Danio rerio: one gene and its partners. The protein of the gene in region 2 interacts with the protein of the main gene of each other region in a pairwise test. Links are inferred from orthologs where the notes say so. Each region holds a gene or a part of one and is shown on either strand. Other genes may lie near its edges. The genes, in order: tox4a, banp and foxm1.

Region 1 (3,657 bases), on a different chromosome or scaffold from region 2:
AAGTATTTTTTTTCTTTCTATTTTTAAATATTATTAGTTACCATGCCAACTTTAATGTAATACAGTTTGGTATATTTAGCTTCGGCCCAGCACCCTTAATCAAGTTTGGTTTTTGGCCCTTCGTAAGAAAGTTAGGGCACCCCTGGTTTACAGGGAATTTAGGCACAAATCTTGTAACATGCCCTATGACCCAATCCTACTTGTTCAGTAGTCGTTTTTAAGTGCATGCATGAATGAGTATTTCTAAAAATTTCTTTCTTGACATAAAATTATTTTCAAACTAGTGCTGTATGATATTAGAAAGATCTGACATTGCATTTTATGGTAGTTTAAAAGTAATCAAAATCGACATTCACAATTTATAATCAATCAAATTTTTTCAGATACATTTTTTTTTTCAATTACTTTTCCTACCATTTGTGAATTCAAATGACTCCATTCTGGGCTGATTTATACTTATTGTATTATGATTTGTACTACTTGCATTATTTTGATATTATGCTTCTGCCAAGAGCACATGTACGGTCCGGCACAGCCTTCACATACAAAAAAAAAGTAATTACACATCACAACTGTTATAGCTACACTTTACTGTACAAAGCTTGTCACAAAACCTGTCACTTTATGTAACTTGTTAACTATGAGGGCAAAAACAAAAGAAATTAAATAATTGTTCATTAATCATAATCGAGTTAAATTATTCAATTAATCGAGATTTTAGTTTTAGACCAAATCATATAAAACTGTATAACAGTTTTAAATATCCTGAGAATGCTTTTATTTTTAAATGAGAGATGTGTATTATTGCCTCCATACTTCTTGCTTTTACAAATGACCTTTTAAATGGCTGTTAATGTAATTAGATCTAGAGTGTAGATTGCACTTTCAGATCATGAATCTTTCTCTTTCCCCCTTTTTTTTAGGATCTTGGCCATTCTGTTGGCTCTCATTTCGCTAGTTCCTCCTCCATGACTATTGATGTTCCAATAAACGAAATGAGCCACAGCCTCTTAGGACACAACCAGCTCACCACCATAGACCACTCAGATCTAAGTGCCCAGTTAGGGCTCAGCCTTGGTGGAGGATCTGTGTCAAAATCACCAGACCAACCGCTGTCAACCACACCGTCCCCTTCTGGATCACTGCAGGATGAAGACATGGAGGATTTTAGACAAGTGAGTTTTTGAGATATAAGCCTGTTTTGGTGGCACATTTTCATTATTTTTTCATCTTGCAACATCTCCCGGTTTCTTTCTCAGAAAACCATGCTGGTAGACTCTTTCGCTGTCTCTGAGCCCAGTCCAGCCCAGATATCTGTTCCTCCACCTGTGGTGAGGAGGGTGGGTGGTAAGCCATCCATGGTGCCAGTGGCCACAGTGGACACAGGAGCATCACTCGGGGTCAAAAAGGGAAAGAAGAAAAAAGATCCTAATGAGCCACAGAAACCAGTGTCAGCCTATGCTTTGTTCTTCAGAGACACACAGGCTGCCATTAAAGGCCAGAACCCCAATGCCACATTTGGAGAGGTGTCTAAGATAGTGGCCTCCATGTGGGACAGCCTGGGAGAGGAGCAAAAACAGGTATGGAGTCCTTAATAATGCTCTTCTGTTCATGTACCAGGCTTAAAGATGCAGAATGCAATTAGGTATTGCATTTTTTTTTACATGGTTCCTCCAATAACAACATGACGTACACGCAGGTTGCCAGATTAATGATAACAATAAATTACGAGCATTGCTGAAGATCGTGCCTTATCCTGACTATGTTTGCATGGACATCAGTAATCTAATTATTTGCCTTAATCTGAATAAGACAATAATAAGAGTAAGGTGTTTAACATGAGCTGCTTTTTGAATGTTCCTTTCATGATCCTGTTTTACGTTATAGTATATAGTTCGTTAAACGTCTATACATCAACATTCAACACTAATTTCATTCAGCGTTTTACATAAGTTCGCGTTCATCATGGCACCCAGTGCTTCCCACTCATAGACTTTGCTCAGGCGGGTCGCCCAGGAATATTAACAGCTGCCCAATTGACACAATTTTTTAGTATTATTGTCATACTTTTACACTTTTTGTATCATCCCAACATAACCAAACATCCGCAATTGATTAAGTAGGTGAAAATTATGTTGAACTGTCAACACTCCCACAGACAGTCTCAAGTGCTCTGCAGACCCACAGAGACGTGCTTTTTTTGGGACTTTTTTGGGAAATTTGCCTGCCCCCTGTTTCTAAAGCTGCTAAAATGTCTGGGATTCAGCTTTTGCTTTTACATTTTAAAGCTGTCATTATGCGTTTTTGCATTACATTTTTATTTAAGCTTACTTTCGCTTGGCGTCACAGCTGACAGCGCAGTTGCGAGAGCAAGAGAAACATTAAACAATTCATTCTCTAATCTAAACTGGCTGCAAAATATATGTACAACATTAGTAATGGTTAATCAATGCGTCTGCCTTATTTAAATAATCTACACGTTTTAATCTTGTAATTATGGTCATTTTAGAGATATTGTCTGTTTTTATTTATTTTTTTGTTCATCATTTGCTGTATATTTTAATTTAATTATGTCAATATATTGTGTGTTTTATATGCATATCAAAAATGCTTTGACCTGCAAGTTTGCTTTAAACTTGAGAGGGAGAAGCAAGTTTTACCTGTCAGTGGGTGCACATGGCTCCTGAATAGTTTTTTTTTTATTTTATTTTTTTTACTTTAACCCATTGAAAAGAAACCATGTATAACAGTGTCATAATAAATACAATTATTGTTAAAAATTAAATTGTTTTGTTTGTCGCATATTGTTAACTATTTATTTGATGTGGGTAAATGGTGTGTTTTAATCTGGCTATCACCACAAGTATATTTCAAACCTGTGGGAAGCACTGGCACCATATGTGATTTTGGATGTTTTGTTATTAATTTCAGTTTAAGTTCAACTGCAGTTAATTTCTCACACTATGCATGCAAACAAATGACAGCGGATACAAATTCTCAAGTAACAGGCCACCTCTGCCATTTCATACACTAGCTTTTCATTTGTTTGTCGTCAAATGCCTGACAACTACCATGTGTGCATCCTGTCGCAAAATGTAGTGAAAAGTACTTCAAAACAGTAATAATTTGATTAAAGTGTTTATGTCTGTACTGCACTTCAATAATGCCCCTAAATTACAGATACTTCACATCTTTGCAATGCGATTACTGTACAGTTTGATTCTTACTTTAGTCAGAAGAATAAGGTAATCAAAAATTTCTGTTTACATGGTAGACTCTTAAGAGTATTGACTTAATCGTATTAACATTGGAGTATTGGTGTTTATGTAAATGTGCTCCCTGTAAGCTAAACAGCTGATGGTTATGTTGGGAAACTTTCAATTGTTTGCAAAATAAAATCTCATAGATTTTTATGACTCTTGTATCTCATTTCGGAGGTTACTGCTGTCTTCCGGAGGTTGCAATTTTAGCTGCGCCTGCATACACTGAGGCAGCCTTCAAAACTGAAAAGAAATATGGGGTGTTTTCCACCAAGGCAGCCTGGTGTGCTGAAATATGATTGGGTAAACTGGCAGTGGGCTGGTTATTGAGACCAAAACTAAGACAGACATTCCGACATGGAGCGCACATTTTCAAAGGAGAATAACAGACTTGAAT
Region 2 (3,657 bases):
AATTATAACCCAATCCGAAGCAATCCCCAATTATTTATTGGTTACATTTTTCTGAAATGCAGGTTTGAATGATGTCAGAGCAAGATTTAGTGGAAATAGTCCAGATTGCAGTGGCGGATTTAAATCATGAAGGACACCAAACAGGTAAGTCCACCTTAAAAAATACCATATATGTTTATACATGAAAGTGTTTGTGGTTTCCTACTAATGTAATTCATTTTTATTTTATACTAGATGTTCTGGAGAATAATGAAGACTCTGATCAACCAGGGAGGAAACGAGCAAGAATTGAGATCAGTCAAGAAACATCTATCAAGGTAGCTTTCTAATGTCATTAAAGGGTTGTTTCACCATCACTCACCCTCGTCCACATGTTGTCCCAAACCAAATTTTGGTTCCTCTTTTGAAGGTCTATTTTCCCAAAACTATAATGCTTCATTCGACAATTAAAAAGGAATCAAAAAAGCATGAACAAAGCAGTTTAATCCAAGTCTTATTTATATAATGGACAGATGTAATTCTGGCCTTTATTCACATATAAACAGAGATGTATAAAGTACTAGAGACCCAGACTTAAGTAAAAGTATAAGTCCTCTATCAAAAAAGTGACTTGAGTAGAAGTTGAAATGCTCCAAGCACCATACTTAAATGGAAGTACTAAAGTATTCAACATTTTTTGTACTTAAATATTGTAAGTAAAAGTACAAGTATTGTGTAATGTAGTTCTTAAAGAAAGCAGTCAAAAGACATATTGTTTTGCTTATTTGAAATATCTTTTTTTGGGGCACATGATTAAGCGAACGAAAAGAAACATGGCTTACGGTTTATATGAACTAGGATAACGTTTTTCTCTCGCTTGAACCACAGATCTGACAGATTATAACAGCTTTAACACACACCTTTCACTCCAATTTCTGTAATTCACTCAAAACGCTATTGAAACCCATTTTCGGCTTGCAAATTACGGTTGTAAACGCCGTAAACGGGAGTTCTAAACATTCTGCCGGAAGACACTGGTCACTATGGTGCCCTCCATGCAGCAGCCAAGAAAAAGGTCTATAATTGTAAGGAGTAGAGGTGTGAATCTACACTGGTCTCACGGTTTGGTTCGGTTACCATTATCATGCTATCGATTCGGTTCAATTCGATATCTCGGTGCACTGACAATGCTTTCCATACATAATTCGATTTTGTCTTCACAACACAAGAATTTTTTTTCATTAAAATCTATAAATATATATATGAATGTCTGTTGAATGACCTCCCACCCTACTCATAATTCTCTTTTCATATCCATAAAACACTGTGATATAGCCGGGCTCGGATTGTATTGCTTTCTCACTACAATTAATCTGCTCCAGAGTTCGTTTGAATCGAGCTGAGACCATCTCATTCAAGCGATCTCGAAGCGATTGTTTTGGCGCAGATCCGAGCGCGATTGCTAGATTGCAAACGAGACAGGTTCCGAAACAAAGGTCTAGGTATGAAAGTACCCTTAAACTCATTGAAGATATGTACTGAAGTAAAAGTGGAAATAGGAGAAAAAAACAATACTCCAGCAGAGTGCAGATACAGCCTTTTAGTACTTAAGAACAGTAGTGAAGTAGTTCTACTTCGTTACTATACATCTCTGCATATAAATAATAATCATGGAGTAAAAACTGAAGCAATGATTCTCCTTTTTGGTTATTGTTCATCAGTCAAGCATGCTTGCTCATTGTTTGATGAGTTGTGAGTTTAATGTTCACCATAAAAAACAACAATTGTGTGTCTGCAGAATTTGACATTTTTTGCTATTTCTGCGCGGAATTTTGTAAAAACAAATTTATGCTAAATGATTTTGAAAATAAAGTAACTAAATACATGGAATAATTAAATATAACCCTTTTTTTAAATTTAAGGTTTACAAAGCAAACCCATTTGTTTGGTAAACAAAGTCAGTTTCTCATTTAATATATCTACTAAAAAGACTGTTACATTACAAACTGTTACATTACAAACTGTGTTAAATAAATCATATAAACATTAGCAAATTATTAAGTAATATTACTGCAGGTAATATAAAATATATATTCACTCACATTTACATAGTTAAACAAATAGACAAAAAAAAAAAAAAATTGGTGGAAATCTGTGAATTCGCAGATTCCGTACGGGCCTACATATGGGTTATGATGATAGATTTTAAATTTTGGAATGAACTAAAATCAGGGCTCCAAATCTGAATATTCAATAGTGTCAACAGTCATCCTCGTGCATGCACATATAAAAATCAACAGTAAAAAATAGGTGTGTTTTGCATTTAAAAATATATAGCAGGGAAAATAAGTATCCAGCACGTCATGTTTTTTGTTGGGAATAATATTTCTAAAGAAGCAGTTGACATGGAATTGAACCAGATTTTGGTAAAAACCCAAACAATACAAACAAAAATAAAACAAAACAAATCTAAAAAATAAATTTTGTGTAATAGCAATGAAATGACACAAGGCGAAAGTACTGAACTACTAAAACAGAAGCAGGAAATCAGAGCACATCACACCTGTCCTCAGGTCTCTACACTGGCTCCCAGTTACATTCAGAATAGATTTTAAAGTATTGTTACTGGTCTATAAATCACTAAATGGCCTAGGACCTCAATACATAACAGATATGCTGATTGAATACAAACCTAACAGATCTCTCAGATCATTAGAATCATATAAACTAGAAATTCCAAGAGTTCTGTCAAAGCAGGGTGAATCCGCCTTCAGCCACTACGCCCCTCGCTGCTGGAATCAGCTTCCAGAAATGATCAGATGTGCTCCAACATTAGGCACATTCAAATCGAGACTGAAAACACATCTGTTTAGCTGTGCCGTTACTGTATAAGCACTGTGCTGCGTCCGACAGATTGCACTATTATGTTTTTCGTTTTCTTTTTCATGTTTTTATAACCTATTTTAACTCATTTTAATTTGTTTTTATCTGTTTTTAATATTTTTTATTGTCTGCATTTTATGTTCTAAACTTGTCGTTTTTTATTCCTGTTTATGTAAAGTACTTTGAATTGCCACTGTGTATGAAATGTGCTATATAAATAAACTTGCCTTGCCTAAAACGTGTTAAATACTTTATATAAAAGGCTTTTTTTAATGATGGCAGCTTAAAGACGCCTCTTGTATGGAGAATGAAGTCACATGAATTGCTCAGGTGTAAGTTTTTCACACACTTCAACAGTGTGCAAAAATCTTGATGGTTATGTGGGTCTCATCTATCAATAAATGACATTTTCATCTGGTATTAAATATAATTAGATATTTTACCAATTTCTGTATTTCTGTTTCTCCAGTCGATGTTGATATCCATCAGTCAGGCGATCTGCCAGCGGCTGGACAGTATGGAAGCAAAGCTGCAGGTTCTTGAGGTGACCTGTCGAGGTTTAGTGGAGAAACTGGACACAGTGATGGGCAAGAACCAGTCAACGATTCAAGTACCCATGGTGTCCGGGTCCCCATTCGGAGCCACTCAGACTTGTGACAAAGTACGCTGGTAAGTGGACCATAGGTCATGTGATTTATACACCAGCACCATTCATTAAATGGTTGGTTCTGTTTATTTTTTTCTTTATTTCTGCCCGTTTTTACGGCGTACAACATATGTTATAAATGACAACAG
Region 3 (4,420 bases), on a different chromosome or scaffold from region 2:
TGTGTTATCAATTGACAAGATGTAACGTTAGCATAGATGTTAACAACACAGAAAGTTCGCTCGTAAGGAAATGCATGGCATACAATGCAAACTTCAGCTAATACTCACGCATTGCTTTGTATTTCTTCTCAATTGCATTGTTTTTTTCCTTTGGACCATGAAAATGTGAACAGAGAAAGACTGTTTGGGCGAGGTTTGTTGGAATTTTATCCCTCATTCATGCACTTTCATCCCCCTTTTTAGAAATGAAAAAGTGATTGAATGTTGGCTAGCATAAGCATGTAATGAAACAAGAGGCGGGGCTTTGCGACCACGGCTTTAATGTGATTGGTCAGATAGGATTGGTCCAAATGACAATTAAAACGTAAATATAGATATATTATTCGTTGTGTTTCCACCAATAATATTATTTTAATACGTGTTACTAACGTATGCAGGACGAAATCTGCTAAAACAAAAAAAATAAATAAATAAATACGCAAATATATAAATAAATGAGTAAATAAATTCATCAATTCCTGCATAAATAAAATTAATAAATACGCAAATATATAAATAAAAGAGCAAATAAATCCATAAATTCCGGCATAAACAAAATTATAAATAAATAAACCTGCAAATATATGTTAATTAAATTATAAATAAAATATATAAATAAATAAGTAAATGTTTGCAGAAAATACTGCATAAATAAAATAATAAATAAATATGCAAATATATAAATACAAGAGTAAATGAATCCATAAATTCCTGCATATAAATATAAATAATTAATGGTGTGGCCAGGTAAATAATTGTGTAACTTATACAAATGTTGGGGGAATAAGAAAATGCTAAACTGAAAGTTTATTATTTAGATTTAGATGCAGCTTTGTATTGCTTAATGTTGAATGTTTCAGTTGTAAAAATTATAATGTGTATGTCAGAGGAGCCACCGATCGCCCCCTAAAGGGAAATTATTTACTGCAGTGTGCATTACTTGCAGAAATGCACTACTTGTGGTGGCTCCGCCCATATGTGTTCGCCATTGGCCACCACGTGATCACGTGAGAGCGCAGCACCGCTCTGCGCCAAAATTCAAAATCTCACCAAATGCTCACAAGAATCCTGCGACCCGAGTCTTATATTTACCTTTATCAAAATACATTCTAGCAATCAACACTGCCTGATTAACTCAAATAAAGCACCGTCTGCACGGCTGACATGATATGAAGGTTTGATCCGCTTTGTATTGTTTGATATGGGTTTATTTTAATGCATTACAACAGGAATTTACGTGTATAGCAAGTTAGCAGGGTGGGTATGCAAATAACTAGGCCGCATGTCAGATAATAAAGCACGATCGCGTTAACTTTAATAATAAAATGTATGATTAGGACAATAACATGTATTTAAGTGTTATATTATGACGTACAACGCGATTGAAGGTCTATGCAATAACAAAATATTATTTTACAGACCTGAATTGGAGCAATGTTATGTCCTTTTGTTTCTGAATGATCTGTCATCGTCATCACCCTCATAATAACAAGACGTCAAATTGAATGTAATCAATTTATAACGGTATTTCATCTTTCAGAACTACAAACGTCATTTTGGAGTCGTTAGCCAGAAGCGTCGGTTAAACAGATCTTTTAATCGGTATATTCTCCGCTATTTGCGATAATATTTGATATATGTCAATAATTAATGTGTATTTTCTATACGAGCACTTGATTTAATATTTTCACGCTATTATTTGGGTGGTTTATCATTGTTACACTTCTGCAAAGCTTCCAGTGTAAGTAACAACAGCTCAATTCTTGTTTATTTAACATTATAAGTTTTTTCATATATATATATATATATATATATATATATATATATATATATATATATATATATATATATATATATATATATTTATTTATTTATTTATTTATTTATTTATTTTTATACGCTTTTTCTATGTATATATGCTTTATTATTCCAAAACAACTTTACAAAAGGAATATGTTATTAATGTTTCAATCAGATAAAGTTAATGTGGACAGTAAATATGTATAGTTAGCATGCAGATAAACAGTTCCTGAATATACTGTATTTAGAAAAGAACTATTGAGTTCATCTTTATTTCTATAGTGCTTTTACAATGTAGATTGTGTCAAAGCAACTCAACAGAAAAGTTCTAGTAAATTTAAACTGTGTCAGTCCAGTTTTCAGAGTTGAAGTTCAGTTCAGTGGTTTAGGCATGGGACGATAACCCTTTTCAAGGTATACCGCTGTTTGGAAAAGTCAAGGTTTTAAAAAAACGCCAACATTGTCTGCTATACTGTTCCTAAGGTATGTGTAAGATTTTTTTTTTCAGCTTTTTAGGTCAACAGTATCACCGGCAGAAAAAAAAATCCAAAGATGCTGCTTTAAATTGTAAAGAAATCTGTGTTTTTGAAACTAACGAAGAGAGCAGCCTGACATGTTTACTGCTTCAAAATATGTTAAATGTTTCTCAAAATAAAATATATTGTGTTCAAAAGGGGAAAAAAAGTTTTTAGTTTTTTCAGGGTGTCCGCTGGGTCTTAAAATATCTTAAATTTCAAAAACTAAATTTAAGGCCCTAAAAAATGTACTCAAATATGCTGTTGTGGGTCTTAAATACATTTAAACAGGTCATAATTTTCACTAATTGTCCATTTAAAGCGATAGCCAATCAGTACAACCAACAAATCCTTAAAAAAAAAAAAAGTTTAACAAAATTAACTTTTATTAATTATTTAGCAGTATGGTTTAATTGTCATCCTTACAATAGCATTTGTTTAAAAATTCTCAGTTTTTATGCATAAATTTATGTTGAGCATAAATGTTTATTATAGCTTTTAAAACTTCGAGACATTCTGATTGTCTTTAATTTAATATTGTTTATGCTACATTGTATTTGTGAAAAATATTTTGTTTTGGTCTGGTTTTCAGAAGTCTTTTAGATTAATATCCCATTGTGAGTGTCGATTAAATAAATGACACCAAAAAATACAGTTTTTTTTATATATAGCATTTTGAAATAATCTAGAAGTTTAAGGTGTAGTTACCCTTAAAATAAATATTAACCTTGATTTAGACCTCCGAATTTTAAAAATATTTTATTATCTATATTTAATAGGAAATCAAATTACATTTTGAAAAATTTTATTTTATGTTGTGCATAAATTTAGTTTATTATAGCTTTTAAAACTGGTCTTTTTTTAAAGAAGGGTTATGCTAATAAAAATGTAAAACTAGAGTTTGCTTGTTTTGACACATTATTTAAAATATATGGCTAAGAAATAACTGAATTTTAATTTTAATTGGGCAAATCAAAAAATACACCGGGTATTACAGAAAATTATTAGAGTTTTGCCATGTGATAGTCTGAAATTTTATTGAAAATGGTTATAAAAAGTCTTAAATTTGACTTGATGAAACCTGCAGAAACCCTGTTTTTACCCAGACATTTAAAAATAAAGATATTTTTATCCAAGGTTATCATGTCACAATCTTATATCGGCCCATGCCTAGTTCATTCATTCATTTTCTTTTCGGCTTAGTCCCTTTATTAATCCAGGGTAGCCACAGCGGAATGAACCGCCAACCTATCCAGCCCGTTTTTAAGCAGCGGATGCCCTTCAAGCTGCAACCCATCTCTGGCAAAGCCCATGCCTAGTGTGGTTTAAATTTCTCTGCTTCTCTGCTCCAAACACTTGGAGAGCAAATCCATCAATGCGTAGCTTCACAAGTACCAAAACCCAGCAAGCCAGTGGCGAGGAACAAACTTCACCAATTGACGAAAGTGAAGGAAATAAAAGTTCAAGAGAAACTTGGCTTAGTTGGAACAATCAATGTTTTCTAACAAATTTTGTAAACATTACATTTGATCTGTTTTATGTTATATCAAACAGGTGTTTAAACAGGCCCATTTGCTGTGAGCAAACAATGAGGGAGAGCCCAAGGAGACCCATCATCCTAAAGAGGAGGAAGCTGCCATTTCTGAAGAGTGAATCTGATCTGGGGTGTGATGAAGCTGATGGGACTCGCTGTAAGACCACCTCGACCCAGTCCACTGCTCGCAGCTTCCCTGATGGCATCCGTGTTATGGACCACCCTACTATGCCGGACACACAGGTGGTGGTGATCCCGAAATCAGCCGATCTGCAGAGTGTCATCAGTGTCTTGACGGCCAAGGGGAAGGAGTGTGGGCCTCAGGGGCGAAACAAGTTCATCCTGCTCAGTGGAGACACCAGTTTGGAGGAGAGCAAAACCCTTGGGTGTTTTTCTACAGAACTTGGGTCTGAGCTTGGGAAAGGTGAGTTATCTCCACCAATCAGCTGGTTTATTGGTGTGCGGTCTGGAGCAATATGGTAGATGAGGAGATTCCTCCCAATGTGTAAAGCACTTTTGAGCGTCTTAAAAA

The links.
Region 1: the proteins of banp (region 2) and tox4a interact in binary tests that used the Homo sapiens proteins (3 or more experiments, as listed by UniProt). The two-hybrid records come from large-scale screens. The link is inferred for Danio rerio from reciprocal best matches to the Homo sapiens genes BANP and TOX4.
Region 3: the proteins of banp (region 2) and foxm1 interact in binary tests that used the Homo sapiens proteins (3 or more experiments, as listed by UniProt). The link is inferred for Danio rerio from reciprocal best matches to the Homo sapiens genes BANP and FOXM1.

Annotation. Positions count from the first base shown.
Region 1 is NC_133177.1:41,098,109-41,101,765, reverse strand, and holds part of tox4a (TOX high mobility group box family member 4-B), read left to right. Parts: intron 1-923; coding exon 924-1,175; intron 1,176-1,259; coding exon 1,260-1,580; intron 1,581-3,657. UniProt on the Homo sapiens protein: Transcription factor that modulates cell fate reprogramming from the somatic state to the pluripotent and neuronal fate. In liver, controls the expression of hormone-regulated gluconeogenic genes such as G6PC1 and PCK1.
Region 2 is NC_133200.1:32,860,695-32,864,351, forward strand, and holds part of banp (protein BANP), read left to right. Parts: intron 1-62; 5' UTR 63-68; coding exon 69-144; intron 145-234; coding exon 235-317; intron 318-3,331; coding exon 3,332-3,531; intron 3,532-3,657. UniProt on the Homo sapiens protein: Controls V(D)J recombination during T-cell development by repressing T-cell receptor (TCR) beta enhancer function. Binds to scaffold/matrix attachment region beta (S/MARbeta), an ATC-rich DNA sequence located upstream of the TCR beta enhancer.
Region 3 is NC_133179.1:6,237,915-6,242,334, reverse strand, and holds the start of foxm1 (forkhead box protein M1), read left to right. Parts: upstream 1-1,529; 5' UTR 1,530-1,641; exon of another isoform or gene 1,642-1,780; intron 1,781-3,908; 5' UTR 3,909-3,942; coding exon 3,943-4,312; intron 4,313-4,420. UniProt on the Homo sapiens protein: Transcription factor regulating the expression of cell cycle genes essential for DNA replication and mitosis. Plays a role in the control of cell proliferation. Also plays a role in DNA break repair, participating in the DNA damage checkpoint response.